7 linked regions of the Macaca fascicularis genome follow. The protein of the gene in region 7 interacts with the protein of the main gene of each other region in a pairwise test. Links are inferred from orthologs where the notes say so. Each region holds a gene or a part of one and is shown on either strand. Other genes may lie near its edges. The genes, in order: ADAMTSL4, PLSCR3, KCTD14, MIIP, TRIM42, SAXO1 and STK16.

The links.
Region 1: the proteins of STK16 (region 7) and ADAMTSL4 interact in binary tests that used the Homo sapiens proteins (3 or more experiments, as listed by UniProt). The two-hybrid records come from large-scale screens. The link is inferred for Macaca fascicularis from reciprocal best matches to the Homo sapiens genes STK16 and ADAMTSL4.
Region 2: the proteins of STK16 (region 7) and PLSCR3 interact in binary tests that used the Homo sapiens proteins (3 or more experiments, as listed by UniProt). The two-hybrid records come from large-scale screens. The link is inferred for Macaca fascicularis from reciprocal best matches to the Homo sapiens genes STK16 and PLSCR3.
Region 3: the proteins of STK16 (region 7) and KCTD14 interact in binary tests that used the Homo sapiens proteins (3 or more experiments, as listed by UniProt). The link is inferred for Macaca fascicularis from reciprocal best matches to the Homo sapiens genes STK16 and KCTD14.
Region 4: the proteins of STK16 (region 7) and MIIP interact in binary tests that used the Homo sapiens proteins (3 or more experiments, as listed by UniProt). The two-hybrid records come from large-scale screens. The link is inferred for Macaca fascicularis from reciprocal best matches to the Homo sapiens genes STK16 and MIIP.
Region 5: the proteins of STK16 (region 7) and TRIM42 interact in binary tests that used the Homo sapiens proteins (3 or more experiments, as listed by UniProt). The two-hybrid records come from large-scale screens. The link is inferred for Macaca fascicularis from reciprocal best matches to the Homo sapiens genes STK16 and TRIM42.
Region 6: the proteins of STK16 (region 7) and SAXO1 interact in binary tests that used the Homo sapiens proteins (3 or more experiments, as listed by UniProt). The two-hybrid records come from large-scale screens. The link is inferred for Macaca fascicularis from reciprocal best matches to the Homo sapiens genes STK16 and SAXO1.

What each region holds. Positions count from the first base shown.
Region 1 is NC_088375.1:110,697,528-110,701,568, forward strand, and holds part of ADAMTSL4 (ADAMTS-like protein 4), read right to left. Parts: intron 3,993-4,041; exon of another isoform or gene 3,940-3,992; 5' UTR 3,831-3,939; coding exon 3,811-3,830; intron 3,581-3,810; coding exon 3,517-3,580; intron 3,220-3,516; coding exon 2,864-3,219; intron 2,692-2,863; coding exon 1,995-2,691; intron 1,782-1,994; exon of another isoform or gene 1,753-1,781; coding exon 1,650-1,752; intron 692-1,649; coding exon 555-691; intron 1-554. UniProt on the Homo sapiens protein: Positive regulation of apoptosis. May facilitate FBN1 microfibril biogenesis.
Region 2 is NC_088390.1:7,438,376-7,442,886, reverse strand, and holds the start of PLSCR3 (phospholipid scramblase 3), read left to right. Parts: upstream 1-1,619; 5' UTR 1,620-1,665; intron 1,666-1,870; exon of another isoform or gene 1,871-1,874; 5' UTR 1,875-2,045; coding exon 2,046-2,052; intron 2,053-2,320; coding exon 2,321-2,556; intron 2,557-2,647; coding exon 2,648-2,690; intron 2,691-2,792; coding exon 2,793-3,013; intron 3,014-3,178; coding exon of another isoform or gene 3,179-3,203; coding exon 3,204-3,365; intron 3,366-4,511. UniProt on the Homo sapiens protein: Catalyzes calcium-induced ATP-independent rapid bidirectional and non-specific movement of the phospholipids (lipid scrambling or lipid flip-flop) between the inner and outer membrane of the mitochondria.
Region 3 is NC_088388.1:76,915,682-76,920,274, reverse strand, and holds the start of KCTD14 (BTB/POZ domain-containing protein KCTD14), read left to right. Parts: upstream 1-1,613; 5' UTR 1,614-1,641; coding exon 1,642-1,731; intron 1,732-4,593.
Region 4 is NC_088375.1:222,764,106-222,767,046, reverse strand, and holds the end of MIIP (migration and invasion-inhibitory protein), read left to right. Parts: coding exon 1-20; intron 21-157; coding exon 158-254; intron 255-524; exon of another isoform or gene 525-664; intron 665-1,387; coding exon 1,388-1,522; intron 1,523-1,856; coding exon 1,857-1,928; coding exon of another isoform or gene 1,929-1,935; 3' UTR 1,936-2,165; downstream 2,166-2,941.
Region 5 is NC_088376.1:43,533,221-43,537,942, forward strand, and holds the start of TRIM42 (tripartite motif-containing protein 42), read left to right. Parts: upstream 1-1,610; 5' UTR 1,611-1,776; coding exon 1,777-2,117; intron 2,118-4,722.
Region 6 is NC_088389.1:79,947,106-79,951,146, forward strand, and holds part of SAXO1 (stabilizer of axonemal microtubules 1), read left to right. Parts: intron 1-1,906; coding exon 1,907-2,910; 3' UTR 2,911-4,041. UniProt on the Homo sapiens protein: May play a role in the regulation of cilium length. Stabilizes microtubules at low temperature.
Region 7 is NC_088386.1:115,181,705-115,186,438, forward strand, and holds the start of STK16 (serine/threonine-protein kinase 16), read left to right. Parts: upstream 1-1,823; 5' UTR 1,824-2,009; exon of another isoform or gene 2,010-2,129; intron 2,130-2,228; exon of another isoform or gene 2,229-2,232; 5' UTR 2,233-2,336; coding exon 2,337-2,422; intron 2,423-3,313; coding exon 3,314-3,533; intron 3,534-3,769; coding exon 3,770-3,903; intron 3,904-4,071; coding exon 4,072-4,192; intron 4,193-4,318; coding exon 4,319-4,414; intron 4,415-4,734. UniProt on the Homo sapiens protein: Membrane-associated protein kinase that phosphorylates on serine and threonine residues. In vitro substrates include DRG1, ENO1 and EIF4EBP1. Also autophosphorylates. May be involved in secretory vesicle trafficking or intracellular signaling.

The sequences.
Region 1 (4,041 bases), on a different chromosome or scaffold from region 7:
TAACACGGTGAAACCCCGTCTCTACTAAAAAATACAAAAAACTAGCCGGGCGAGGTGGTGGGCGCCTGTAGTCCCGGCTACTCGGGAGGCTGAGGCAGGAGAATGGCGTAAACCCGGGAGGCGGAGCTTGCAGTGAGCTGAGATCCGGCCACTGCACTCCACCCTGGGCGACATAGCGAGACTCCGTCTCAAAAAAAAAAAAAATTAATGAGACTGTGCAAATACGTGTGTGTGCATGTGTGCATGTGTTCATGCATGTGTCTACATGTGTATGTGTACGGGTGTGTGTGCACATATGCGTGTGTGCATGTGTGTCCGTGTGTGTCTGTGTGCATATGCATATGTGCATGTGTTCATGCACAAGTGCACATGTGTATGCACACATGTGTCTGTGTCCATATGTGTGCATATGCATGTGTGTCTGCATACGTGTGTGTACATGCTTGCATGTGTGCATATGTTCATGCATATGTGTGTGTACATGTGTATGTGTACAGGGGTGTGTATCTGTGCGCATATGCGTGTGTGTGTGTGTGCACCCCGTCTTCCCTCACCAGACAGCGTCCAGCCACACAGATGTCAGGGGCTCCAGGCTGACATAGGGTCCCATCCTGGACCTTTTCGGTGTGACGGACATAGAAGCGGAAGCCACGGGGCCGGCAGTTCAGTTCACAGCGCTGGGAGCCCTGGACTAAGGGACAGAGTAGAAGGGTGGTTAGGGGCTCCCTGGTGGGAGGTTAGCTGAGAGAGGCCCCGGGGGGGCACCTTGAGGTTGCCCAGGTCACTGTGGATGAAGGAAATGTGACAACAGCACAAGCTGAGAAGGTGGTCAGGGCCGGCACAGTGGCTCATGCCTATAATCCCAGCACTTTAGGAGGCCGAGGCCGGTAGATCATTAGGTCAGGAGTTCAAGACCAGCCTGGCCAATATGGTGAAACCCCATCTCTACTACAAATACAAAAATTAACCGGGCGTGGTGGCACATGCCTGTAGTCCCAGCTACTTGGGAGGCTGAGGCAGGAGAATTGCTTGAACCCAGGAGGCAGAGGTTGCAGTGAGCCGAGATCTGCACTCCAGCCTGGGTGACAGAGCGAGACTCTGTCTCAGAAAAAAAAAAAAAAAAAGGAAGGTGGTCAGGTCAGTCGAGGTCACTGAGACCATCAAGGGGACTCTGAACCGAGAGAGGAGCAATCCCTGACGCCCATGATTCTGTGTGTTCAGAGCTCTTGAGTGCTTGTCTTGGTGTCAACACAGGCCTAAAATGAAGCGGATGGTAACTTGGGAGCAACCGATACGGTAGTGCCCAGGATACGTGGCACACCCCCACCCAGCTGTCACGGCTGGACAGGATCTCTCCCACTGTGGCCCTCTTGTGTCACAGCCACCCGACCCCCAGTGATGGCCTTCCCAGAGGAGTCCGGACAAAGCGTGTCTCCCGCACCTCCTCCTCCCACCCCGACCCCTCTGCAGACCACTCGCCGCCACCTGTGCTGTCTCCTGACCCAGCCCCAGGGAGAAGAAAGAAGGCACGGCGCAGGGGAAGCAGAGGGGCTGGAAGTCATTCAGGGCTGGGAGTAAGCAGGTGTCTCCTCTCCCCTTCATCCCCAATTCCAAGTCATCACTGCCCAGGGGTGGGCAAGAAACCTCACCTTCGGTGAAGGGCTCCCACTGGTACAGCTGGCCCATGAATTCCTGGGAGTTAAAGGCCGCGCACTGCAGGGCCCGGGGGTCTGGCTGCTCGGGGGGGCAGGGCTGCGGTGAGGGGTACAAAGGAGTCAGAGCTGGGGAGCAAAATGAGGGTAAGGTCAGGGCTGAACCTGGGGAGCAGGCGGGAGGATCAGGTCAGCGGAAGAGCTCCAAGACCCCTGCCCTGAGGTGGTCAGATGCCAAGGCCCTTCTCCCTCAGGGGCCGAGAAGAAGCTGAGGGCCCAGCTTCAGGGCGGGGAGGCCACACTGGAGGTTGGGGTTGGGAGGGGAGACCCGAGGAGACTCACCGCTTGGCTGCAGGCTCTTAGCTGCTCACTCTCCCCAGAACATCTTGGAATAGGGCTACTGGGAGCAAAGAGGCTCCAGAGGGAGCTGGCATGGGGGCCGTTGCTCAGCAGGGGCAGCCAGCCGTCCGGGTGCTGAGGGTCAGGCTCCAGGCGGTGCCCGTGAGGAGTCCCCCCCATTCCCCAGGGCCCCTGGCCCTGCTGGCCTCGGCCCCGAGGGACTGAAGGGAAAGGATCAGGGCGTCTCCCTGCTACCTGGGGACTGGCCCAACCCTGGGAACTTGGCCTTCGTGGCTGAGGGGATGCACGGAAGAAGCCACCTTCTCCTAAGGAGCGCGTGGGTGAGGGGGCCTCTGTGTCAGCGGCCTGGGCTCTGGGGTGGTGCTGTGGAGGGGCAGGCCTGGTTCTGGGAGCCACCTCTGTCTGAGCAGTTTCAGGGCTTAGAGGTTCTGCTTGGGGGGATGGGGTGTGGACAGACAGTTCTGTGGGAGGGAGCTCAGTCTTGGGGCTGCCGTTTGTGGAGAATGGCTCTGCTCTTGGAGTAGGGGATGGAATGGGCTCTTCCCCTCTAGAAGAAATCAGGGACAGCTCAGATCTGGGTGGCCTCCGAGGGTGCCTGCGGTTCCGGTGCAGTGGCAATGCAAAGGGCACTCTCCCATAACCGAACATTCCTGGCTTGATGGGGTCTCGAAGCCGGGACCTGAGAAGGTGTTTCAGATGTGGGGGCACAGCTCTGACCACCTCTGACCCTGTTTCCCCAGTTTACTTCCTGGCACCAAAGACAAGCCCTCTGAAGTCACCCGTGCTCCCCTTTCCTTCTTGCTAAGCCCCCACCTTGCCCAAGGCCCACCTCTTCCACCCAGGCCTCTCACCTCCTGGCCGCTTGAATCTCCTGGGTCTCCTCTCTCCCTAGGTGGGAAGCAGGACCTCGAAGTGGGCCACCCCTTCCCCGAGACTGTGTCCTGTACAAGGGGAGGGTTTCTGGAGAAGTCTGGGGTCTGGGACCCTGGCCCCGGGGGAGGAGGGCTTCTGGATGTCTTGGGGGCCGGGGAGGGAGGGGCAGACTCGGGCGGAGCTGCACTGTAGGGAGCTGACATGTCCGGCTCCTGCGCTGCACCCCCACCCCGCAGGGCTGGGAGCAAGAGGCCCACTGGACCCAAGGTCCCCAGACACCTTCGAGGCCCTGGCCCTCCTCTGTAGGTGTCTGAAGAGAGTGTCCGGACAACACCTATATAGAGAAAAAGGTCAGACAGAATTGGAAGGATTAGAGGGAACTGTCCAGAGCGTCCATCTAGACCACCGCTGGGGCTCACAGAGTCGCTGCCAGTCCAGGGTCACATTCAGCAGCAGAGGGAGAACTACACCTCGGCCTCTTGGTGTTGTGAGGCAAGTAACTGTGGAGTTGGCAGGGGAGGTGGATGGGCTGTGGGGAAAGGAGGCGTGGCCTGGAGAGATGGGGTGGGAGCCCAGGGGGAGATGAAAGGGTGGCAGGCAGGCTGCAGCTGCTCACTTGTCCAAAGCTCACCTCCTGATCCAGGCAGAGCTGAGGGAGGGACAGAAGCAGCAGCAGCAGCAGATACAGCCAGGGCCTGCAAACCAAAGGCCATGGGAGGGACGTCAGACTGGAGCCAGAGGGGGTGTTGCAACACCACCCTCCGCCCCCAGCCGGCTCCCCATATCCTGACTACCAACTTCTCAGAAAGCAGAAGTTACTCATCACTTCCCCTGCCCCTCCCAGTGGTCCTCTTTCCCTCACTTCCAGACATGCAGCCGTCCCAGCAACCCCCCCTTCCCTCCCCACCATGGCCCCTTCTCTCACCTGCCTGCCCAGTTCTCCATCACTCCCCCCTCTACTGCCCCAGGGCAAGGGAGGAGCGGACTGGTCACAAAAACTACACAGCCATCTGGGCAGGCATCTGGGTAGGCATCTGGGTGTGGAGGGTGCTCTCTGCAGGGACAGAAGCCTGGTGGTTACCTCTCCAGTGTCCAGAGAGCTTGGGGCTGGGAGGACAGATCAGAGTGGAGGAGGTGGTGAGACTGGCCCACCCCT
Region 2 (4,511 bases), on a different chromosome or scaffold from region 7:
AGTCTCACTGGTCTTCTGCCTCAGGACCTTTGCCCTTGCTGTTCCCTCTGCCTGAAACACTTACCCAGTAATCTGCACAGCTCAGTCCCTCACCTCCTTTAGGTTCTGGGTCAACTATTGCCTTCTTTTTTTTTTGAGACGGAGTCTTGCTCTGTCCCCAGGCTGGAGTGCAGTAGCAAGATCTCGGCTCACTGCAACCTCCGTCTCCCAGGTTCAAGCGATTCCCCTGCCTCAGCCTCCGGAGTAGCTGGGACTACAAGCACCCGCCACCACACCTGGCTAATTTTTTTTTTTGTATTTTAGTAGAGACGGGGTTTCACCATGTTGGCCAGGATGGTCTCCATCTCCTGACCTCCTGATTCACCCGCCTCGGCCTCCCAAAGTGCTGGGCTTACAGGCGTGAGCCACCGCGCCTGGCCTAACTATTGCCTTATTGGTGATGCCTTCGTAGCCTGACTTTATTTATTTATTTATTTATTTATTTATTTATTTAGAGATGGATTCTCGCTCTGTTGCCCAGGCTGAAGTGCAATGGCGCGATCTCGGCTCACTGCAACCTCTGCCTCCCGGGTTCAAGAGATTCTCCTGCCTCAGCCTCCCGCGTAGCTGGGACTACAGGCGCCTGCCACCACGCCCGGCTAATTTTTGCATTTTTAGTAGAGATGAGTTTTCGCCATGTTAGCCAGGCCTGGTCTCAAACTTCCGACCTCAGGTGATCCGCCCACCTCTGCCTCCCAAAGTGCTGGGATTACAGGCATGAGCCACCGCGCCCCGCCACGATCTTTCTAAAACACACATTTGAACTTCTTTGTTCTAAAAATGTCTCGGTGGACTCCTTGCTGCCCGTGGGGCCAAATCCCAGCTTCCGCACAACCCGCCGTGTATGTGGACTGCACTCCGTCTCTAAACTCATCTCTTGCGCCACTGAGCCAGTGCTCCCCAAGGCCAGGACTGGTCCTGGCTTAGGATCCAGTCGAAGAGACTCGTCTAGGGGGTCTTTTCTGACCGCGCGTCCTCCTCTGGCCCTCTAGGCGGCCTGAGCACGCTCACTGACACCGTTTGGCGGCTTGTCACCTGCGTGGCTTGGGCACCTGCAGAAACTGCTGTTGCTGCGAGGTGCCCGTGTGGGTCACCGCTGCGCCAGTGAGAGAAGACGGCGAGGTCGCCCCTGGGAGGCAGAAGGCGAGCCAGGAGCCAGTCCTGGAAGCCAATGAGTGAGTGTGAAGGGTGTTCCGCTGCGTCAGCGAGGCCCGACCGCCCTTGGGAGGAGGAGCCCAGGGGCCAGCGCGGCGCTGGCCGCCCTCGCCTCCCACCAAGGGCGCTGAGCACGCAAGCCGCCGACCTGGCGGGGTTCGCGGGGCCCGGGCCCAGCCGCCGCCTCCCCCAGGCGCTCCTACTCTCCGGGCATCTGCAGTCCGAGCGGAAGGGGCGGGAACGCCGGCGACGCTGAGGAGCAAAGCACACGCTCGGCCTCCCGGGGCAGCTGACCGCCTCCTTCTTCCCCGCACAGACGCACCGCCCAGGAGGGGGCGGGCCCGGCGGGTCGGGGGGGCGGGGCCGGGGTCGGGGGGCGGGGCCGGGGTCCGAGCTCCGGCCCGCCTCTGCCTCCGCCAGCTCCTGTGAGCCGCCGAGTGCTAGGCACCCGGGCTGTTCTGAGGGCTCCAGGTGAGCGGGGGCACAGAGGGGTCAGGGAGACCGCCCTCGAGGTGGGGCTGTCGGTCTGACCGCGGGTCCATCTGTCCTGCCGTCCGCCCACAACCTCCTCCGCAGGATGGGAGAACAAAGGGAGGGGGCGGTTCTGGGGCCCCCGAGGGAATCCTGGGTCCCAGGTACCCAGCCCCGCCCGCTGACACTTTGGTTTCTCCCCGAGTCAGAGGCGCCGCCCAAGAGACCCTGGGCCCGCGCCGGGCGCAGCTGCCTCTCCGCATTTGCCTGTCCGTCTTTGTGTCTGTCTCTGGGTCTGTCTGGCTATCTCCGAGTTTGCCTCCGCTTCCAGAACTAAGCCATCCAGACACCATCATCCCGAAACCTCAAGCCCTTCTCCCATGGCAGGTAAGTGTGCGCGCAAGTCCGGGGGTCTCCGTTATCCCCCCACGGACTTGAGAGCCGGGTGCGAACACATCCTCCCGGAATGTGCTCGGACTGGCTGGGTGGGGCCCCTCCCTTCCTTCCGGGGAACCTCCACCCTGCTCCCCTGCCCCATCTTTCTCTGCGTCTTGCCACCACGTTTCCCCCGAAGCCTTGCGGCCCATGGGCTGAAGAATAAGGGGATGAGGCCTTGGGTCCCTTTCTAATCCATCCTGCCCCCACCGCTTTACAGGCTACTTGGCCCCCAAAGGCTACGCCCCTTCGCCCCCACCTCCCTACCCTGTCACCCCTGGGTACCCGGAGCCGGCGCTACATCCTGCGCCCGGGCAGGCGCCAGTGCCTGCCCAGGTACCTGCCCCAGCTCCCGGCTTCGCCCTCTTCCCCTCGCCCGGTCCCGTGGCCTCGGGGTCTGCTGCCCCCTTCTTGCCACTGCCTGGGGTGCCTTCCGGCCTCGAATTCCTGGTGCAGGTGAGTGGGAAGGAGTGAGGGAGGATGACTGGGAGGGGACCTGGGCGTCCAGATGGGCCAGCTGATGTGCGCGCCGCCCCTCTCTTTCCAGATTGATCAGATTTTGATTCACCAGAAGGCTGAGCGAGTGGAAAGTGAGTAGAAGGAGTGGGAGGTTGGACCTCATGATGGTGGCCCGGATGGTGGGCTCCTGGGCGCGCGAGGCTCTATAAGTCTCCTTGTGTCACCCCGGGCAGCGTTCCTAGGCTGGGAGACCTGTAACCGCTATGAACTGCGCTCTGGGGCCGGGCAGCCCCTGGGTCAGGCGGCCGAGGAGAGCAACTGCTGCGCCCGTCTGTGCTGTGGCGCCCGCCGGCCGCTGCGTGTCCGCCTGGCCGACCCCGGGGACCGCGAGGTGCTCCGTTTGCTCCGCCCGCTGCACTGTGGCTGCAGCTGCTGCCCCTGTGGCCTCCAGGAGGTGGGAGGAGGAATGGGTCCAGGAGGGCGGGCCTTGGTGGGGCGGGACAATGATGAGGTCCACCTGAGATGAGGCCTGGATCAGGTGGGAGTGGGCAGGTGGGAATGGGAGGTTTAGTGAGGGCCAAGTAGACACCTGATAGAGCTGGGACCCCTGCCTCCGCAGTGACCCTGTCTGCTTCCCACTCCAGATGGAAGTACAGGCTCCCCCAGGCACCACTATCGGCCACGTGCTACAGACCTGGCATCCCTTCCTCCCCAAGTTCTCCATCCAGGATGCCGATCGCCAGACAGTCCTGCGAGTGGTGGGGCCCTGCTGGACCTGTGGCTGTGGCACAGACACCAACTTTGAGGTATCAGGAATACTAGAGGTTCTTGGGACCTTCGTAAACCTAGATGATGCTTCCATGAGGCAAGATAGTTAACACTAAGGTCAAGACCCTGAGCTCATCAATCCAAATCCACTGTGACTCCGACCACATTTGCAGCATTCCACCATTTGGAAATAGAATGGCCCCGTGGTCTTATAAAAGTGTAACAACGAGGATTTCATCTTCAGGAGCAATGTTGATTATTACACGTGGCCCTGAGATGGGCAGAAAAAAAAAAATCTAAGGCCAGCCTGGATTTGGGGTGAAGGATGCTTAAGTCTGTGTGGGCTGGGCCCATGTGGCTGCTGTGTATGAGTTTGTGAGCCCAGGCCCTGGAGCAAGCACGATTTTAACATGTTAACATCCTGTGGCCTGCCCTGCTACAGTAGAATCCACATGCCCCTGCCATTCTGATATCCAATATATCCTTCTCACATTTCTGTCACCAACCTGGAAGCTGGAGATCCCAAGTGGTGAGAATTTCAGAGAAAGGTGAGGCCTGGGAAGCACCTTGGTTTCTAGAAGACAAAGGCATTCCACAGACCCTTGAGTTCTTTTTTTTGTTTTGTTTTTTTGTTTGTTTGTTTTGAGACGGAGTCTTGCTCTTGTTGCCCAGGTGGGAGTGCAATGGCATGATCTCGGCTCACCGCAATCTTCGCCTCCCAGGTTCAAGCAATTCTCCTGCCTCAACCTCCCGAGTAGCTGGCATTACAGGCATGTGCCGCCATGTCCGGCTAATTTTGTATTTTTAGTAGACATGAGGTTTCTCCATGTTGGTCAGGCTGGCCTCAAACTCCTGACCTCAGGTGATCCACCCGCCTCAGCCTCCCAAAGTGCTGGGATTACAGGCATGAGCCACCACACCTGGCCGACCCTTGAGTTGTTTAAGGGATAATTCCTTGTGCATATAAGGGAGAAACAACTGGTATAATCCAGTAGACTTTCCAATGCTTCTAATGAGGTACCTACCTAAGATTACTTTGCAAAAATGAGTCACCTTGGTAGCCAGAGGGAGATTCCGTGATGGGAACCAGTTGGGAATAAGATGTAATAACTGTGTGATCTCCGGATGGGAATGTATAGGCTGTGGGGTTCTCATAGGGCCAGTGTCCCTTTTACATAATTATA
Region 3 (4,593 bases), on a different chromosome or scaffold from region 7:
AACATATAATTAAGTAACTAGGGACTTTTCAACAAAGGAAACCAAAAAAGGTGATTTCGTAACTGTAACCAATGAAATATATATGTGAGTGTGTGTGTGTGTGTGTGTATATATATATATATATAAATATATATATATATATATATATATTTTTTTTTCCCCCCTGAGAGGGAATCTTACTTTGTTGCCCAGGCTGGAGTTCAGTGGTGCAATCTTTGATCACTGCAAGCTCTGCCTCCCATGTTCCAGCAATTCTCCTGGTTCAGAGTCCCAAGTATCTGGGATTACAGGCACGCACCACCACACCCAGCTAATTTTTGTATTTTTAGTAGAGACGAGGTTTCACCATTTTGGTCAGGCTGGTCTCGAACTTCTGACCTCAAATGATCTGTCTGCCTTGGCCTCCCAAAGTGCTAGAATTACAGGCGTGAGCCACCGTGCCTGTCCCCAGTAAAATATCTTGTTTCCACATTCTCCCCATAAATATTTGCCTCTGATGCATTGTCATGGGAACATTCAACCTTTTTCCATCTGGTGTTTCCCAATTCAAGAATTGCCTGTTATCCAAGTACACTCTTAAAAAAGTTTTGTTGAGCCTCAGATTTTACATTTTAACACCACCCTACCTCCTAGGGTGCTGGTTTTCTGATCTGTAAAATGGTGTTGACGATATTTCACTCCCTAGGACTGTAGGGAATAGAAAGTCTCTAGCTGTCAATGTCAGTCAATGTCAACTCCCTCTGCCTCCCCCATTTCACTCCTGGGAACTCTGAGGCCCAGAGAGGGGCATTAACTAGTGTCAACTTTAATAACGGGATTCAGGCAATACGTTTAAATAATTTATTTAAGCGTAAAGTTTGAGAATGGCCAAGCGGGGGACACAGGCTCCAATAAGCTGGGTTCAGTGCTCTTGAGTAGAGTGGTTTGAGGGTCATTCATTTATATAAGCAAGGTCTGGGGAATAATAAGCAATAATAATAAGAAGAATAAGAAGCAAGGTCTGGGGAAGCTTAACAGAATTTTAACATTTTCCATATTAGTTAAGTGTATAGTTACAGCAATTTAATTGATTCTAGGCAGTGTTTCTGTTTGAGAAAGGTACATTTAACATTCCACATTAAGATGTAATATTCAAACGGTCTTTTATCTCAGTCATGGGGTCTTTCATCTCAGGTGCCATCTGATCTAAGCCGCAAAAGAAAATATAGGAAGAGGCAAGGTGCTGTGGCTCAGGCCTGTAATCCCACCACTTTGGGAGGCTGAGGTAGGAGGATCACTTGAGCCCGGGAGGTTGAGGCTGCAGTGAGCCTGATCTGCCACTGCACTTCAGCCTGGGCGACAGAGTGAGACCCTGTCTCTGGAAAAAAAAAAAAAAGAAAAGAAAGAAAAGGAAGGAAATTAATCTATATCAAAAGGTCAGTACTTAAAGGGTTTGCTCCATTTCTCAGTCTCCAAAGTCAGCCCTCCTCAGGGTCTAACAACTTTTAAAAGCCCTAAATAGACAGACTGTTCATTTCCTTCTGCACTTGGCCAGGTCTCACTAAAAGCCACGCCTGGCCCAGCCCCATCCCGCCTTGAGCCTTGGTGTCCCCACCTAGGGGCGGGCAGCCAGGGGCACTTCCGCTGGCCCAAGTGATCTGCATGTGGCAGGGCTGCGCAGTGGAGCGGCCAGCGGGCAGGATGACGAGCCAGACCCCTCTGCCCCAGTCCCCCCGGCCCGGGCGGCTGACGGTAAGTGCCAGGCTAGCTGAGTCCCCGCGCCTCTGCCCTCCCTTCCAGTTTCTCCTGCCCGTCCGTCGCAGCCGGCCGAGCCCCCTACTTCTGGCGCACTGTCTCCCTGCACCTCGGGCTGGTCGCTCTCTTCTGTCTTTGCTATCCCTCCTGCTCGGATGGCTCTCCTTTCGCGCCTCGGTGTCCCTTTCTGGTTTGGCTCTGTCCAGCCTCTCCTTTTTGCCCTTTTGCTTCCTCCCTCTGCATTCGGTCTTTAGTTCCACTCCCTTCTCTCTTCCCCCGGGCTTGTCCTAGTCCAGGGCTTCTCCTCTGCTCCTCCTTCTCCCCTGCTCCCCGTGGGAGAAGCCCATCCAACCAGCTTGGCCAGAGGATCTTTCCCTCACCCGCAGCCCTCTCCAACCTGCCCCTGCCCCTGCCCTCTGGCTGGGACCCGAATCCCTCTGCTTGCCTGCCTGGTCCCTGGGCTTGGGTGAGGGGAGTTGGGGAGGAGGATGGGGAAAAGGCTGGCTGCACTCTAGAAGCAGAACACTCGGGTTCTCTCCTGCACTGAGAATCATCCTGAAGACCTGGAGGAAGGGAAAGCAGATCCAGCAGCAGGTCAGCGTGGCTCTCTCTAATAGGGCCATGGTCACGTCATTGCTGTTGGCTATTGACAAAGTCACATGCCTAGTGCCAGGATCGCCCTAGGTGCTCAATAAATGCCTGCATGAATTACTGGGGAAGTGTAACGCACTGTGCATGATGCCAGGTAGGGCAAGATTGGCCTTGAACAGAACACTAGATGCTCCTGTAAATCAGAGGATATTCCCCTCCCTTAGGAGCCTCACAGCCTTCTTGCTTGTTTGTTTGTTTGTTTTTGTTAAAATAGAGACAGGGTCTTGCCATGTTGGTGAGACCCAGGTTGGTCTTGAACTCCTGGTTGAAACCCCAGACTGGACTCAAACTCTTAGGCTCAGGCAATCCTCCTACCTCAGTCTCCCAAAGTGCTGGGATTACATGCGTGAAACACAGCACTTGGCCAGGAACCTTGCAATCAATGAACAAACAGGGAATTATAAGGGAAGAACTGCCAGGCCAGTGGAAGTATAGTAGTGTAGGACTTTCTGGGACCACAATGAGACAACCCACCCCGAAGGACTCCCAGAGGAATTCATCTGAAGGATGAGTAGGGTCAGAGAAAGGAGTGTGGATGGCAAGTGAGTGAGCTTCTGGAGGTGAGGGGGCCTGGCTTGCTCCGGATTGGAGGGGTGGGGAGCAACCGGCGGTTCTGGTAGCTGATTGCGAGGGGTGAAGTAGCAGCCCAGTTGCAAAGGGCCTCTAAACCTTGTTATGGAGTCTGGAGTTTATCTGGAAGGGAATGAAAAGTTGCTCAAGTGTTTAATGCAGGGAGTGATAGGATCAGATTTGTACTTCAGAAAAGGTACTCTCAGCCAGGCGTGGTAGCTCATGCCTGTAGTCCCAGCACTTTGGGAGGCAGAGCGGGTGGATCACCTAGCTCCGGAGTTTGAGACCAGCCTGGCCAACATGGCGAAACCCTGTCTCTATAAAAAATACAGAAATTAGCAGGACATAGTGGCACACGCTTGTAGTCCCAGCCACTCTGGAGGCTGATACAGGAGAATCGCTTCAGCCTCGGAGGTGGAGGTTGCAGTGAGCCGAGATTGTACCACTGCACTCCAGCCTGGGCAAGAGTGAGACCTTGTCTCAAAACAAAAAACAAACAAAAAGGAGCTTAGGAACAGGGCTGAGGTCTTGTTTGATAAAGAAATGGAGCTGAAGATGTCCGCACAGGAAACTTTTTTTCTTTGAGACAGGGTCTCCCTCTGTCACCCAGGCTGGAGTGCAGTGGCGCAGTCTTGGCTCACTGCAACCTCTGTCTTCCGGGTTCAAGCAATTATCCTGCCTCAGCCTCCCAAGTAGCTGGGATTACAGGTGTGCGCCACCAGGGCCCAGCTAATTTTTTGTATTTTTAGTAGAGATGGGGTTTTGCCATGTTGGCCATGCTGCTCTTGAACTCCTGGCCTCAAGTGATCCTCCCACCTGGGCCTCCCAAAGTGTTGGGATTATAGGTGTGAGCCACTGCACCCAGCCTATTTTTTGAAGCATCTGGAAATTAGCTTCAGAAAGGACATCGGATGTGATTGGATCTGTTAGACTTTCAGAGCTGGGGGAGCTTAGAGTTCTCTTGGTCCCTTTTACCTTCCTGTTTCACAGATAACTAAGCTTAGGCCCAGAGAAGGAAAGCAAAGGGCCCTGGGCACATATCTAAGTACTGGCAGTAGTGGGGCAGGATGTTGGGAAGGATGGGAGTGAGGTACCCATATTGTGTTGGAGTCATGCTGATACAGGTTTCATCTCAGCTCCAACTTCATCACATCCTAGCTGTGTGACTTCTCTCTGAACTTTCCTTGCCTGTAATATGGGGATATTAGGAGGGCCTGGGAGCTTTCAGCAGTGTAGGAGTAATGAGAACATATTGGTCCATTCAAGGGGTAAAGTCTGCAAGTTGGCATTTAACTGGGTGCTTTACAGAGGTGACCTCAGGGTTAACCAAACAGTCCTGCCAAGGGGCCTTGAGGTTTTTGGGAGAAAGAGTCAGAGGTTCTGGGCTTATTTTTCTCAGCTCTATTGTTTGGCTGCTGTCAAGATGCATCCTCTCCTCTGCCTTCTCCCTTCCAGTAAGCAGAACTGTCCCCTGGTAGGAGATGTTGTCATGGCAATCAGATTTCTCCAGCAGTTCAGTTGCCTTTGTCTCTCTCTTTTTTTTTTTTTTGTTTTGAGACAGCCTCGCTTTGTCGCTCAGGCTGGAGTGCAGTGGCTGGATCTCGGCTCACTGCAAGCTCCACCTCCCGAGTTTACGCC
Region 4 (2,941 bases), on a different chromosome or scaffold from region 7:
GCGCAGCCGGCGCAGGTCAGGTGAGTGACCAGAGTATTGGGACACCTGTGGGGACAGAGCCTGAACCACTGGTTTTAAGCGAGTAAAGATGGGCCTGGGCGTGGGCCCCCAACCGCCGGGAGGCTCCTCAGGGGTCCCCCACTGCACCCCTGTGCAGGGTGAGCATCCCGCTGTCCATCCTGGAACCCCCGCACCGGTACCGCATCCACCGGCGGAAGAGCTTTGACGCCTCCGACACACTGGCCCTGCCCCGGGTGAGCAGCCACGTGGGGCTGGATAGTGATGAGGGCGGGGCTGGCTCAGACTGGCCCAGGTCCCCAGGGAGGGTCACAGAGCAAGGCTGGGCTCGACAGTGGTGAGCACCCAAGTCTCTGGAGCACAGGCTGGGCCTCTTCCATCACCCACAGCTGTCCCTAAGGGAGGTAGGACCCCCGCTCCACTTACCCCGGGGCTTCCAGGGTGGTCTGCCTGTAGGCTGGCATGAAATGAACGGACCCTGTTTATTGCGCTTTTGTGTACTGCAGGCATAGTCCTTAGGGGGCTTCTCTCAGGGAGCCCCCACAGCAGCCAGGAGGGCAGGCACTGCTGTACCCCCACCCTGCAGGTGGGGAGACCGAAGCGGAGTGGCAGGCGCCTTGCTGGAGGAGCTGGGATTTGAACCTAGGTCTCTGTGCTTCTTTTTTTTTTTTTTTTTTGAGACCGAGTTTTGTTCTTACTGCCCAGGCTGGAGTGCAGTGGCACAATCTTGGCTCACTGCAGCCTCCACCTGTAGTCCCAGCTACTTGGGAGGCTGAGGTGGGAGGATCACTTGAACCCGGGAGGCAGAGGCTTCACTGAGCCGAGATCTCACCACTGCACTGCAGCCTGGATGACAGAGTGAGACTCCATCTCAAAAAAAAAAAAGAAAAAAAGTCCTTTCCTGTGTCTCCAGGTCAGGATGGGGGCCCAGTGGCAACTCCGCCTGACTCCTAAATCGAGAGTAGGGCAGCTGGGGTCAGAGGAGGAGAAGGATACAGAGGAAAGTCAGTTTGCTGGTCCATGAAATGGACATAACAGCGCCATCCTCAGGGATGTTGGTGGCGAGGTGGGGCTGGTCAGTGAAGCAATCCATGCGGGCGCTTGGAGAGCCCACAGCAGGAAGCGCCCTGTGAGTGTCACTGTCACCATCCTGTCCTCCTCCTATTTCAGCTCTTAGGGCCCCAGCGATGGCTGGATCTGCCAGGATAAGGAAGGAGAGACCTGGGGTAATCTTGTGGGTAGACACAGGCCCTGCCCTGGTGGGGGCCTCCTTCCTAATGGGGGGCACAGTCCCTCCCTGATGGGGGTCTGCCCAGACAGCGGGGAGCCTATCCCAGGCCGGGCACCTTTAACACCTTGCCTTCCACAGCACTGCCTGCTGGGCTGGGACGTTTTCCCTCCGAAGTCTGAGAAAAGCTCAGCCCCCAAGAACCTGGACCTCTGGTCCTCTGTCTCCGCTGAGGTCCAGCACCAGAAGCTGTCAGGCACCAGCCCTTTTCGCCTGGTATGGCCCAGATCACATCCTAGCCTGGGGTGCCCCCCAGAGGGACAAAGACCTTGGAGCAGGCCTGGGGACTGCAGAGCCCCCTGGGGGGTAGGATTGGGCTGGGGAGGATAGAGCCTGGGGGTGTCCCTCTGCAGGGGTCCAGCCCTCTGGCCCTGACCCTAGCCATCCCCCGGAACTCCTCCGCTCCCTGCCGCCTGCCCTGCTCCACCCAGGAAGGCCACCCTGACTGCAAGATCCAGGAGGGAATGTGGCTGGAACTGGAGATGACCTGTCCCTTTCAAGTGGCCCCCCTGAAACTTCCCTCTTCCCCATCCACGCCTTGCCAATGCAGGTGCCGCCCCCCACCCCGATCTGGTCAGTGCCCCAGGTCCCTCGGCCCCACGTCCCACGGCAGAAGCCTTGAGGACTGACTCCTGGAGGAGGACAGCATTCCCGCCGCCTCCAGCCTCTCACCTCTGGCAGGCGCACCCAGGAGATGGAAGCCCCTGCCTGCCCCGCTCAGGCCCGGCTGTCCTAGGTTGGGCAGGTGGGTGGGCCCAGGCTTGTCTGCTGCCTGGGTTCCAGAGAGGAAGGACCCTGGGGTGGAGGGTGAGGGATTCTGTGGAAATTTTAAAATAAAGCTCAGTGCTCTGCAGCTCAAGTCCCACGTGTGCTGGTTCCATCCTGCTCATGCACTTGGGGCCCAGAAGGCACTCTGGCCTCTCAGCCTGCCCTCCTGGCACCTGCAGAAGGAAGACATTGCGACCACCGGGACTGGGCAGTGTGCGTGCGTCACCATGAGGGTGGCTCCTTCCGCACATCCCCAGCTCTGGGTAGTGGCCTCCACCAGATGGGGGAGGGGGGTCCCCAAGGCAGACTGGGCCAAGGTTATTAAAAAGTCATTTCAGGCTGGGCACGGTGGCTTACGCCTGTAATCCCAGCACTTTGGGAGGCCGAGGTGGGCAGATCACGAGGTCAGGAGATCGAGACCACGGTAAAACCCCATCGTTACTAAAAATACAAAAAATTAGCCAGGCGCAGTGGTGGGTGCCATAGTCCCAGCTACTCGAGAGGCTGAGGTGTAAACCCGGGAGGTGGAGCTTGCAGTGAGCTGAGATCACACCACTGAACTCCAGGTGACAGAGCGAGACTCCATCTCAAAAAAAAAAAAAAAGTCATTTCAGCGAGGGCCTCTGCTGAAGCCGTGAGTCGTCTTGAATGACTCAGCTCTGTCGTTCCTGGTCCCAGAACTGGGATCCATTGATAGAAGTGCTCTCTGGAAGTCCCTGGGGTCACATGGCTCCTCCACCCAGCCCTGGGAGCCGTGGGTCATTCAGAGCCCCAGCAGGGACAGATGAGGAAACTGAGGGCTGGGCAGTGAGTCGGAGGCAAGGTTAGCAGAGCGCCCAGATGTCTAGTCTGGGAGAGTGGGCAGCG
Region 5 (4,722 bases), on a different chromosome or scaffold from region 7:
CACGAAATTATTCAGCCATAAAAAACTAAATACTGATACATGCTATAACATGGATAAACCTTGAAAACATTATGCTAAATTAAAGCCAGACACAAAAGCCACATGTTATATGATAGCATTTATATGAAATTTCCAGAATAGACAAATCCATAAATACAGAAAAGTAGAGTATTTGCTAAGGGCTGGGGGAAAGGAGAAACAGGGAGACACTGCTAATGAGTGTTTTACGGGGGTGATGAAAAGATTTTGGAATTAGATAATGGTGAGAGTTGCACAATTTTATGAATATACTGAAAACCATTTATGTGTTTACTCTAAAATGGTGAATTTAATGGTGAGCGAATTACATATTAATAATTTTTTAATAAGACCTTACAGAAGGCAATCGTGAAAATGTATCATAAATCTGGGAATGAAACTCTAACCTGTGTGCCTGGAGAACGGAGAGAGATATTGATAAAACTGAGTTTTGGCAAACATGTGGGGAAAAGGTGTTTCACTTTTTTGAATGTCTTATATTCCTTGCTGGTATTAACTGGCACATTTGAGTAAGAAACTGAGCGTTTTGCATTAAAAAAAAGACAGATAAAGCACATACCCTATGATCCAGGATTTTCACTTGTAGAAATCTAGTATCGATGTGTGGCTGGCATAGTTGGCACTCAGTGATTTTCTCTCCTATTATAAAGGTGATAACTATAGGGAGAGATAATAAATTATGCAGTAAATTCCTGCAGCCAAACTCAGCTCTCACTTCTGCTTTTTATAAAAATAAGACAGTATTCATACTCTAATGTACCATGACCATGAAATTTCTGTTCTTTTAATCTTTGCAAGTTGCATAAATGGGAAAGCGAAATTCTTCCCTAAAATATAGGGTCTTTTTTCTAGGGATACTGAGCGTATACTAGCAGAACAGTTAAAGATTTCACGTAGAGTTCCAGCCTCTTTTTGGAGTGGGAGTAGGATGGGAAAAGACAGAAAGCCTGAACCTCACCCAAACACCATGAAGCTACAAAAAAGCAAAGAAATATTCAGAGTGACTTATGTATAAAGCTTCATGAAAATGAGCAGTGACTATGCATTGATAAAAATCAATTACTACTGAAAGAAGTTCCTAAGTGAACCTGTATATATTTTTTCTTTAACTCTCTCTCTGAATGGTGATATCTCTTTAAACATGGCATTGGTAATATTTGTAAACACTGTCCTTCGTTCAAATAGAATTCTATCAATTCCGCTAACGTGGAAAAACATGTGAATCTACTTTTCTAATTAACCATACCCAAGTCTTTCAGTCTACGAAGACATAATCTGAAGTCCACTTGCCCAAATCGCAGGCAGAACACCAAACAAGGAGAAATAACTTCAGAAATCTACTCCATTATCCAAAAGGTGACAAATGACAACTAAACTTCCAGGATGCTCATTGCATCACCACTCCTCTACAGCTGGTTCCATAGAAGCATGGAGTGTTCACCAACATACCTGCTACCACCCACAAGGCCGCATCCTCCTACCCACCCAGCATGGTAGAGACACAGGGATTGTGACATAAGCAAATACCCTCAGACTGATATATGTAAATGCCAGCCTACGAGCTTCCTGGTAGGGACACCAGCTGTGAAGGCCTCATAACAGCCAACTTCTTGCAACTCTCAAGCTGACGGCCTTACGCAGGGGAGGAAGGACTCCTCCACTGGAGAACTGATAGCAGTATTCTGGTAGAGGAGGCATCAAGAGCCCTAGGAGGCCAGCGGTAATCATGTAGGCGCCATGGAAACTGCTATGTGCGTTTGCTGTCCATGTTGTACATGGCAGAGATGCTGTCCTCAGTTATGCTCCTGTCTGTGCTGCAAGTTCATCTTCACCTCAGAGCGGAACTGCACCTGCTTCCCCTGCCCTTACAAAGATGAGCGGAACTGCCAGTTCTGCCACTGCACCTGTTCTGAGAGCCCCAACTGCCATTGGTGTTGCTGCTCTTGGGCCAATGATCCCAACTGTAAGTGCTGCTGCACAGCCAGCAGCAATGTTAGGTGCTACTACTATGAGAGTCGCTGCTGCCGCAATACCATCGTCACTTTCCACAAGGGCCGCCTCAGGAGCGTCCATATCTCGTAAGTGTCAGACACTGGATGTGGGGCCACATTGGCTCATGAAAACTAGGGACCACTTGCCAGCTGTGAAGTCCACAGGGCAGGCCAGTGCGCCTCTGAGTTCATTTCTTTATCTAAGAAGGAGCTAAGAATTTTGTAGCAATTAACTGTATCCTAAATGGTCACTATGTATGTAGACCATGAGTTCCAAATCTAAGCACCATTAACTATGAAAATGAGCACTTCACTCCTCTGAACCCCAACTCTCTCATCTGTACAAAATAGTAATAGCTAATAGTTAGTGCTTAAGCAACTTGCCAGGAACTTCATGCATGACCCCAGCTAACCCCTCACCCTAAGTCCACTGTTTCCATGAGGAAACTGAGCCTTTGAGAAGTAAAGTTGTCCCAGGATCACACAGCTGGAAAGATGCAGTCAGGATTGGAACCTAAAATTTGGGATCTTAACTTTAAAATGCTATATTGCAAAATGGAGACAATACCCCCTTCCCATGATATTATAGATATAAGGATTAATGTACATGCTTTGTAATCTGTATGTGATATAAAAATATAAACTGCTCTTTCTCTTCCTATGAACTCTTAATACCTGCAACATTTAATGGAAAAGTAAGAATTTCTACAGGGCACTTTTGACCCTGAGGATCATATAAATACCCCATACATCCATGAACTCCTACTACCTTGTTTTTCCCATCCAGAAGTCATAGTACTCAGGGTCTCAATTACGCATTTGGAGTACTAACCCTCCATATTAGGTCCTACATTATCCTCACCTGCTCTACCAAACCAGTCTTTTTACGTCACAGATGAGGGGAGTCTGAAGTAGTAAGAGCACACTTCTTAGAAGGGGAAAGATGACATCACCATAAGATGACAGGATTAGAAGAGGCAGAAAAATAGAAGGCAGTTAGAAGGCTTTCAAGCCTGGAAAAGCAATTCTGTAAGCAAAGGTTTGGTGAATTCAGGGGAAAGATATTATCCATCTTGCAATTAAACATTAAGTAGATGCTTAACAAACATAACTCTCCACCCATGACCCTCTCATAGTGTTTGCATAAATAGGAAATCCAGGGATTCTCGATGCAAGTCTAGAAATCCTAAAGCATGGAAAATAGTGTCCACACTCCTCTCTTAACTACCTCATTTTCTGTGCAGCAGCAGCTGAACCTCTGAGCCCATTTCAACAGGAAAGGGATAAAATTGGTGCTTTAGGAAAATGCCTTAGGCTCAGTAGCTCCCCAACGTTATTGTGCATTGAAGTCACCTGGGGATCTTTTAAAATTACTGATGCCTGATCCCCACCCCCAAAACATTGATTTTATTGGTCTGGGGTACCACCTGAGCATCTGAATTAATTAGACTCAACCCCCGCCTTCAGGTGATTCTAATGTGTAGAACGGCCTGCAGGGGGCTAGGAGGGAAGCCAGGAGATTTGACAGGTGATCCAGCAAGAATCCAGGTGCAAGAACAGGCCTGATTTTGGGAGAGAGGGGGCTGTGCAGAGGAGCAGAGACAGGATATCTCAGCAAGAAGATAAAAGCGCTGGGCTTGATGACTGTTTTGAAATGGAACCATGGCCACTGAATGCCCCATCCGAGCCTAAGGCTTTTGGAGGATGGGCAGGGATGCTACCACAAGTGTTAGGAGGTCAGCTGTGGGTGCTTTTCTTCAATCTAGCCTCTCTCCTGGCTTCTGACCCTCTGCCTCCCCTGTTTCTCATCACCACTTTCTGTTCAGCACCTTGCTTGTCCTGCCTCACTCTGGTCTCATGCATCCCTCTCCATCTTAGTCTTTTTCCCACTTCCTTTTTCACCTCTAACACAGCTACCTAGGCCATTAATACCTGTCTGTTAGCCCTGAGACCTCTTTCTCGTCCTCCAACACCTCCCTCCCCCATTCTTCTTTCTTTTTTGTGAAAATGCTAGCTCATGAGCTTCCTAGTAGAGATACCTGCTGTGAAGGCCTCATAACAGTCTCTCTTTATATTATACCTCCAGTCCTTACTTTTTTAGCAAACTAAAGTCCATCTGGGCACTACATGGACAATTGACCTGTACCTCCAGGTGATCCCTTAAGGACCCATGCAGGAATCTGGGAAAGCAGAGAGGAAACAGAGCTGAGAACATCGAGGCCAGCATGCCTGGAGTTCCCAGATCCCTAAGGCACAAATTTTCCAGGTGCCTTAATCCACACAGGAAGCATTCTCTGTCACCACAGGGCCACTCCATTCCAATATACTTGGGAAGCACCTGTGACTATCTGGACTCAGACATAGGGAGTGGGGAAGACAGGGACACATAAGGAATGCAAGAAGACAAAAGTAGAAAGAAACACAGCCACAATGTCAAGATTAGTATCCAAATACTATTATGCAAACAGAGGAGAGAGCAATAGCGGCAAATTGTGTGCCTATTTACACCTCCATTCCCACAGCTAATTCATTTATTTTTATACACTGCATTTGCTGATTGTAAGTTCTTAGAACAGGCACTTGAATTTTACAAGTATGCTTTTACTCCATAGTTCTTACGATTAAATGTATGAAATCAGCCTCAGGCATTAGACAAATGGAGAGCTTTAACACACACAAATGAAACAGTAGA
Region 6 (4,041 bases), on a different chromosome or scaffold from region 7:
CTACCCAAGAGAAATGAAAATATATGTTCACACACTTCTTGACAAAGGCTCATAGCAGAATTTTTTTATAATAGCCAAAGAGTAGAAACAACTCAAAGTGTCCATCAATTGGTGAATGGATAAACAAAATTTGGTATCATGTAATATTCAACAATAAAAAGGTGTAAACTACTGATATAAGCTACAATATGGATGAACCTCAATTACATTCACTAAGTGAAAGAAGCCAGATGCAAAATGCTACATATTGGGTGATTCTATTTATATGAGAAGTCCAGAAAATGCACAGATACAGAGACCAAGAGCAAATTAATGGTTGCCTGGGGTTGGAGATGGGAGTAAAGACTGACTACAAATGAAGATAATTGGTACATTTGGCATGATGGAAATACTCTATAACTGGATTTTGGTGATGGATATACAACTCTATAAAAGTCACTAAATTGTGTACTTAAGATGGTATGTTTTATTATGCAAATTAGACTTCAATAAAGCTGTTACAAATTGTGCCTGCGGACTCCACTAGTGTTGGTGTACATACCTAAGGCTCCTCGGAAGCTGCTTTTTTTTCTAACCTTTAGTAAAGTGGTAAGCAAGAGAATTCCCTATAGATTTAGAAGGGCTCACTAGCACTACTTTAAACCTGGTAATTTATGGGGCCTAGTGGGGCAACCTAGGTCTTGGATGTCAGTCAAGTATTTTGAAAGAATGCCAGCAGTGCCAAGGCAGTTGAATCACATGGTTTGTCGTCCCATTTTTCTCACCTAGACGTTCAGTCTTAGTGCTGGCCCTGAGGGTCTGTGTGATAAAGTCAGTTTCAAAGGCTTACAGTGCTGTCTGAAGACAGTGTCTGGTCCTCAAGATGCCTGGAGGCCATCTCTACTGCATATTTCCTTGGAGTCCAGGCCTCCCTTTGTGTTGGCAGTTCTAGCCCCACAGCAGAGGTTCCTCTTGAGATGGACATCTAGAATGGCCAATTCTTTTAATTCTTCAAACATTCTGAAGTTCTTTTCCTCCTGCAAATCTTCCCTTTGATTATTTTTTTCTTTCACCTTTACTCTATCTGGAAATATAATGCCCTTAAGTGTGTGATATGAGGTATCAGAAGAACATGGCTTTGGAGTCAACAATACGGTTTAAATTCCAACTTAACTCGCTAGCCATGTGACTTTCGGGCAAGTTTCTTAGCTCCTCTGAGCCTTGTTTTAGAAATCTGTAGAATGGAGAGAATCATGCCCATCACAAAGGGTTATTGTGAAGATGAAACAAGATCATGTATGGAAAGACTTGAGCACAATTGACTGACATGTAGTTGGTATTCCTTAATTGTTAGAACCAGAGAGTAGAGTGGGTCAGATCGTGGGCTCTGGGTCTGAATTTGCATTTGTGCTTTTTCACTTCTAGCCAAGTGAGCTGGGACAAATTCTCTCATTTTCTGTGCATCTGTTTCTGCATCTATAAAACTGGCATTGATAGTACCCACCTTATTAGGACAGTCTGAAGATTAAGTGAGTTGATATATAAAGCACTTAGAACACTGCCTGTTATGTAATAAGTTTTATACAAGTGGCAGCCACTTTTCTCTCACCAGCCAATACAATGCCCTATTCCTTTGGAGTAGCATATTTGATATATGTGGATTAGATGTGAGGATTACAGGGACACAGTGGGCTGTCACCCCACAGATGACCAGGTAGGCCTAGTTCGTCTGGCTGGTGGCCTGCCAGTGGTGGGCTGTGAATTGCCTATCTCACTATATCAAGTGGTAGCAGGGATGTGCTCTGTCGTTCCTTTGTCTCAAAGACTACTTCATTGGAGACTGGCTTGTGACCTTCGGGCTCTGTAGAATATATGCAAGTTGGTTGACTTGATTTATTATTAATTACCTCTTCTGCTTTAATTTCAGCTGATTATTTGCCTTGGAACCAACCAAGGCGACAGCCACTTCGTCTGGAACACAAATACCAGCCAGCATCAGTCAGGTTTGATAATAGGACCACACACCAGGACGATTACCCCATAAAAGGCCTTGTGAAGACTGTGAGCTGTAAACCTCTGGCCATGCCAAAGCTCTGTAACATCCCTTTGGAGGATGTGACTAACTACAAGATGAGCTACGTGGCCCACCCCGTGGAGAAGCGCTTTGTGCACGAAGCAGAGAAGTTCAGGCCCTGTGAAATCCCCTTTGAAAGCCTTACCACTCATAAACAATCCTACCGGGGCCTGATGGGTGAGCCTGCTAAGAGCTTGAAACCTCTAGCCAGGCCCCCTGGGCTAGACATGCCTTTCTCTAACACCACTGAGTTTCGAGATAAGTACCAAGCTTGGCCAACGCCCCAGATGTTCTCCAAAGCTCCCATCACCTACGTCCCTCCTGAAGACAGCATGGATCTTCTGACAACAGTGCAGGCCCATTACACATACCCTAAGGGTGTCCCAGCTCGGTCCTGCCGACCTGCACCTCAGATTAGGAAAAGCGGTCGCTTTGAAGGCTCTTCCACCACGAAGGATGACTACAAGCAGTGGTCCAGCATGCGCACAGAGCCAGTCAAGCCCATTCCCCAGCTGGACTTTCCCACCGAGCCCTTGGACTGCCTGACCACCACTCGGGCCCACTATGTGCCCCACCCACCTATCAATACCAAAAGCTGTAAGCCTCATTGGTCTGGCCCTCGAGGAAATGTCCCTGTGGAAGGCCAGACCACCTACACCATCAGCTTTACTCCCAAGGAAATGAGCAGGTGCCTAGCTTCATATCCTGAGCCTCCTGGCTACACCTTTGAGGAAGTGGATGCTTTGGGACACAGGATATACAAGCCGGTTTCCCAGGCAGGCTCTCAGCAGAGCAGCCATCTTTCTGTGGATGATTCAGAAAACCCCAGCCAGAGGAAGTTGGAAGTGTCAGCCTGATTTTGAAAAATTGTAATTTAGGAATTACACAGTACTTTTAAAAGCAGACAACTGAGAATTATTTGTTGGACAAAAAAAAGAATTCCCTAAAATGACAGAAAAAAACAAAAAACAAAAAAAACCTTCACCACTTCCAGAGCACTTGAATAAAATGAGAATTACTTGACTCAGGGAAAATGACATTTAATCACCGGCTAATTAATTCCCCTTAACTTCTCCTTTACTGCATCCCCACTCCGTTTCAGGTTCTTTACTTTGTGCTTATGGAATCAAAATTGGTCTCTGAGGTTTTCTCTAATCCAGATGTATTTTATTAATTTAATCATTGTATGAACGGACATAATGATTAACCCTTGCCAAGTATGAAGCACCAAAGAATAAATTTTATTTTGGGGGGAATGAATCTGTAGCTCTGTGTGTTTACACCCATGTGCTGGCTGTGCAGACATTAGTCTGTATTGCTTGGGACCTTTGGGAAATTTTACGTTAGCATCCCCACTGTGTGTTAGTATTGGTGGAGGTGCCTTGGGCCTGGTCTGGGGTCTTGTTTTGGGTTCTCTGTGTGCAGGGCTGCTTCACAAAGCATCCTTCTACCTCTTCACTGCATGACATACCAGCAAGAATACTGCTGTTCGATGGGGTGTGGATGTCTTTGGTCACAGGTGATGGAGGGAAAGAAAGGGAGGCAGGGATGCATGAACCCACCAGACCTCTCCCCAACCCCAAGCCAGTACAGGCTATGATTCCAGGGAGAGGAGGGAGAAAAAGCAGCCTTGGCAAGCAGGCAGTCAACACCTGGTCCTTGAGCTGTGAGCAAAAGCTGTGGGCTCTTCTAAATGCTCAGAGCCTGGAAGAAATTGCCCCAGGCTGGCCTGGTTTCTGGAGAGCCTGGATGTGCTTGTCCTAAAATGACAGCTGTGACCAGACCTGTGGCAAAGTTAGACCCAGTGGTGAGCCAGATTCCACCCTGGAGTTTCTCTCTTGAGCCTAAGGTTTTTTACCACGTTTGTTTCTAAGGCCAAGTAATTTAAAGCTATTTTATTTATATTTTTTTAATTGAGCAAAATTGAGGAGGGACTTTGTTAAAGAGGGTCCCATACAGCCAATTAACTTGCAGATTTTGTTTTTAAT
Region 7 (4,734 bases):
ACCTCAAGTTGCCAGGCGGTTAGCCTGGACTTCCTCTCCAGCCTGCAGCCACCCCCTTACTCTACTAGTTTGTAAAATCCTCTACATCATGTTAAAGTGCAGTTCACGAACCAGCTTCATCAACGTCACCTGGGAGCTTGTTAGAACTGGAGAATCTGGCTGGGCACGATGGCTCACGCCTGTAATCCCAAAACTTTGGGAGGCTGAGGCGGGTGGATCACTTGAGGTCCGGAGTTCAAGACCAGCTTGGCCAACAGGGCGAAACCCTGTCTCTACTAAAAATACAAAAATTAGCTGGGCCTGGTGGCGCGCGCCTGTATTCCCAGCTACTCCGAGGGTGGGGGTGGGGGTGGGGGTGGGGGTGGGGGCTGAGGCAGGAGAATTGCTTGAACCCGGAAGGCGGAGGTTGCAGTGAACCGAGATCCTGCCACTGCACTCCAGCCTGGGCAACAGAGCGAGACTCCATCTCAAAAAAACAAACAAACAAAAAAGAAATGCAAAACCTCAGATCCTACCTCAGACCTATAGAATCAGAACTTGTATTTTAACAAGATTCCCAGGTTATCCTAAGCACCTTTGAAATCGAGAAGCATGGCTTTACTTGACTGGGGGCCCTGAAGACAGGGAGTGCCCTGTTCATCTCAAATCCTCAGCTTCTAGCACAGGGTCTGGCACAGAGTAGGTTAAATCTGGATGAATGAATGTCAGAACCAAAGGGCTAAAACAGGTTCAGAATCAAGGGAAACTGTTGGAAAATCTTCAGGGTGATCCGGGGTGTGGAAGGAAGGAACCAGGTCACGAGAAGGACCTCTTTCCTGGAGAGCACCGTTTCAGCAAAACAGCAATTCCCTCCTGGCCATTCCACCTTCTTTGGAAGTGCACCCCTCTCCAGCTTACCCTGCCTGCCTCAGCAACAGATGTTAAGGACAACTGCTTTGTGCCAAGGCTTGGAAACTTGTGAATTTCCTTTTCTTTTGACTTTACAATCTCAAGAATGGGATGTGAAGATCAGGGTAATAATAATTACTGTTTATTGACATGTACTGAAGGCTATGTGTCAGATATTGTATTAAACACTGTACATCTAATTTAATCTTCAAACAACTCCATGAAGTAGATAATTATCATTTCCATTTTACAGAGGAGGAGAGGAATGGAGGGAAACATTAAGTAGCCTGTCCAAGGTCACACAACTACGTTAACAGAGCTGGCGTTTGAACTAGTCAGTCTGGCCTCACAGTTAAGCTACTTAACATTAGGTACTATTATACCTATTTTACAGCTACTAAAAGTAAGGATCCGAGAGGTTAAGTAACTTGCCCGAGGTTACACACCTAGTATGCTATTAACACTCAATTTAGAAACTGAAAGTCTGGTTCACAAGCCTGAGCTCTTAACCACTGAGAGTAGAGGTAGTGGGATACAGGCCAGAGCCCGGAAGGTTGTAAGGGATCAGGAGACCAGGCCACCAGACCCGCCCCTACCTGGAATCCCCTCCGGGCTGCAGTGTAGTAGCCGCTTTCTGCCCCAGAGCGCCGGAGGTATGAAGCCTCCTACCTCCAACATTGGGAGATGGAGGTCCTGGGGGCCTCGGGCCGAGCCCGGCTTTGCTCCCCTTTGGCGCAGATGCCTGCGTCTTGACCCCCACTGAAGGCCAAGTAGAGAACCCTCACCAGGGTCCTGGGACCCGTCCACCCCTAGACCTAGCTCGCCCTGGGCCTCTCAGCTCCGCGCCCCCACATCCTCCAGATGCCCAGCGGTTGCTAAGATACCGCGGGCCGTTACGCCGCCGCGGACTGATGATGTCAGCACTGCTTCCGGTCGGTGGCGCTTCGCTCTGTCCCGAGCCAGGTCAGTCGGGGAGTGCAGGCTGGCCCATTCCAGACTCTGGGCTCCTAGGCCGGGGGTGGGCCCTGCCAGGAGTGGGCGTGAGCTTCGCACGTCCTCTGAAACTACGCTGTGCTCTGTCTTTGCGGCGCGACGGGTGTGGGAGCGGGGCCTGCCCAAAGGTGGGCTGGGGTTGGAGGAAGTGGCCCGGTAGCCGCTGTGTATCCTGAGGCCATAAGGCCCCTGACCCCCGCCGCTTGAAGCTGGCGAAGGAGCAAGGCCCATTTTCTCTAGACAATAGTGTAGGTTCCAGAGACCTGGGCCTGAGCTCTCCGCCTTGGTACTTCATGAGTCGTCTAGATTGTGCCGGACCTGTGTGAGACCGTGCCGTTGTTTTCTTTCCAGCATGATCCGCTTGGCCCCCAGCGCATCTCCTGGAAGAGCCCACTCACCCTGGACGAGCTCTTCGGTAGCCTCAGACTGTCCTTGAAGAGGATGACTGAAACATTATGGGCCACGCGCTGTGTGTCTGCTCTCGGGGAACTGTCATCATTGACAATAAGCGCTACCTCTTCATCCAGAAACTGGGGGAGGGGTGAGTGTTTGGAAGTCAGTTAACTAGGCCTCAAGGTTGTGGTCATTGAAGGAAAGCGGTGTGCACGTGCTTGGGGCACAAGGGTTTTATCCCTATCCCTATCTTCTCTCACCTGACAGAGCCTAGCTACACAGCATCAAGAAGGTGGATTCTGGAGCCAGGCCTGCTAAATCCACCTCATGTGACCTTGATAAACGATGTTTTTTTCATATGTTTAATAGAGATGATTATCATCCCTCACTGATGGAGTTGTGAGGATTAAATGAGATAATGTGTATAAACTGTCTCACCCAGTGCGTGGTTCTTAAGTACTTGATAAGTGTTGGCTATTATGGGCCGGGCGCGGTGGCTCAAGCCTGTAATCCCAGCACTTTGGGAGGCCGAGACGGGCGGATCACGAGGTCAGGAGATCGAGACCATCCTGGCTAACACGGTGAAACCCCATCTCTACTAAAAAATACAAAAAACTAGCCGGGCGAAGTGGCAGGCGCCTGTGGTCCCAGCTACTCGGGAGGCTGAGGCAGGAGAATGGCGTAAACCCGGGAGGCGGAGCTTGCAGTGAGCTGAGATCCGGCCACTGCACTCCAGCCTGGGTGACAGAGCCAGACTCAGTCTCAAAAAAAAAAAAAAAAAAAAAAAGTGTTGGCTATTATTTATTTAGCATCTGTCACGTGCAGAGGTCTCTATTACGACCATAGGACCTCAAAGATTTCTGTATCTCTGCTCCTGAGGAGCTCACAGTGTAATATTCTTCAGATTTCTCTTAGAGCCACATCTTGGGAGGGTTTCTGCTAAATGGGAAGGACACCCCACTCCCCACCAGGAAGTTTCGCTAGGTCTTAGCCATGTGGGAGATGACCATGACCCTTCATTGACCCCTTTGGCCCACAGTGGGTTCAGCTATGTGGACCTAGTGGAAGGGTTACATGATGGACACTTCTACGCCCTGAAGCGAATCCTGTGTCACGAGCAGCAGGACCGGGAGGAGGCCCAGCGAGAAGCCGACATGCATCGCCTCTTCAGTCACCCAAACATCCTTCGCCTCGTGGCTTACTGTCTGAGGGAGCGGGGTGCTAAGCATGAGGCCTGGCTGCTGCTACCGTTCTTCAAGGTCAGAAAGACTCCCGGTTATGGAGGGGGTTGCAACAGAGCCACCTACCCATGGGCTATGTGAGCAGTCCAGCATGTTAGGAAGCAGGGACCATGTCCTGGGTTTGGCCACTTTAGATTTTGAGTTTGAGGTGTGTATCATGAAAGGGCTGATAGGCTTTGACATAGGGAAGGGATCAGGCCTAAGGAGCAGAGGCTCCAAAAACATCTCCAACTGTAGGGAAACTTGTGTTGCAGAGAGGTACGCTGTGGAATGAGATAGAAAGGCTGAAGGACAAAGGCAACTTCCTGACTGAGGATCAAATCCTTTGGCTGCTGCTGGGGATCTGCAGAGGCCTTGAGGCCATTCATGCCAAGGGTTATGCCCACAGGTCAGTGGGAGGACCCTGTATGCTTGCTGGGGCCCAGAGGAAGAGCCTTACCAAGAGAAATGGGAGGTTTCTGTTCTCCCAAGAAACAGCCTGTATGATTCTTTTGCTTGCTGGGATTCCAGCCTTCCTGTCCAGAGATGCTCATAGGTCACTTCTACTTCCCTACAGGGACTTGAAGCCCACCAATATATTGCTCGGAGATGAGGGGCAGCCAGTTTTAATGGACTTGGGTTCTATGAATCAAGCATGCATCAATGTGGAGGGCTCCCGCCAGGCTCTGACCCTGCAGGTAAAAGAATCTCCAGGTTCCTTTTCTCACCTGTTCCCCATTCCCACCCCTTCTGGTGCATGCCCCAGTTTGGTCACATGACCATGACGAGTGCCCCACTTTTGAGCTCTGGGATCACTGTTCCAGGACTGGGCAGCCCAGCGGTGCACCATCTCCTACCGAGCCCCAGAGCTCTTCTCTGTGCAGAGTCACTGTGTCATCGATGAGCGGACTGATGTCTGGGTGAGGAGCATGTGGGTGGGTATCTGGGTAGGGAGGGCTGTGACTCTGTACCTGCTGTGGAGTAGAGTAGGTCGTTGGTTTCTGTTGCATGGGGCCCCAGGAACCACAGTATGTCCCCATCCACTTCAACTTCCTTCCTGGGAACTGTCACTGATACTGTACCCAGTTGCACCGGATGTGGTATAATCCCTGCCCCGAACAAGGTGAGTACAGCTCAGTATCAGTACTGAAGAGCAGGAGCTAAGCTAAGCAGGGGCTGCGGAGGCCTCCAACCGACTGGCAGTTTCTCTGTGCCCTGGTGGTGCCATGTGGCTGAGGTC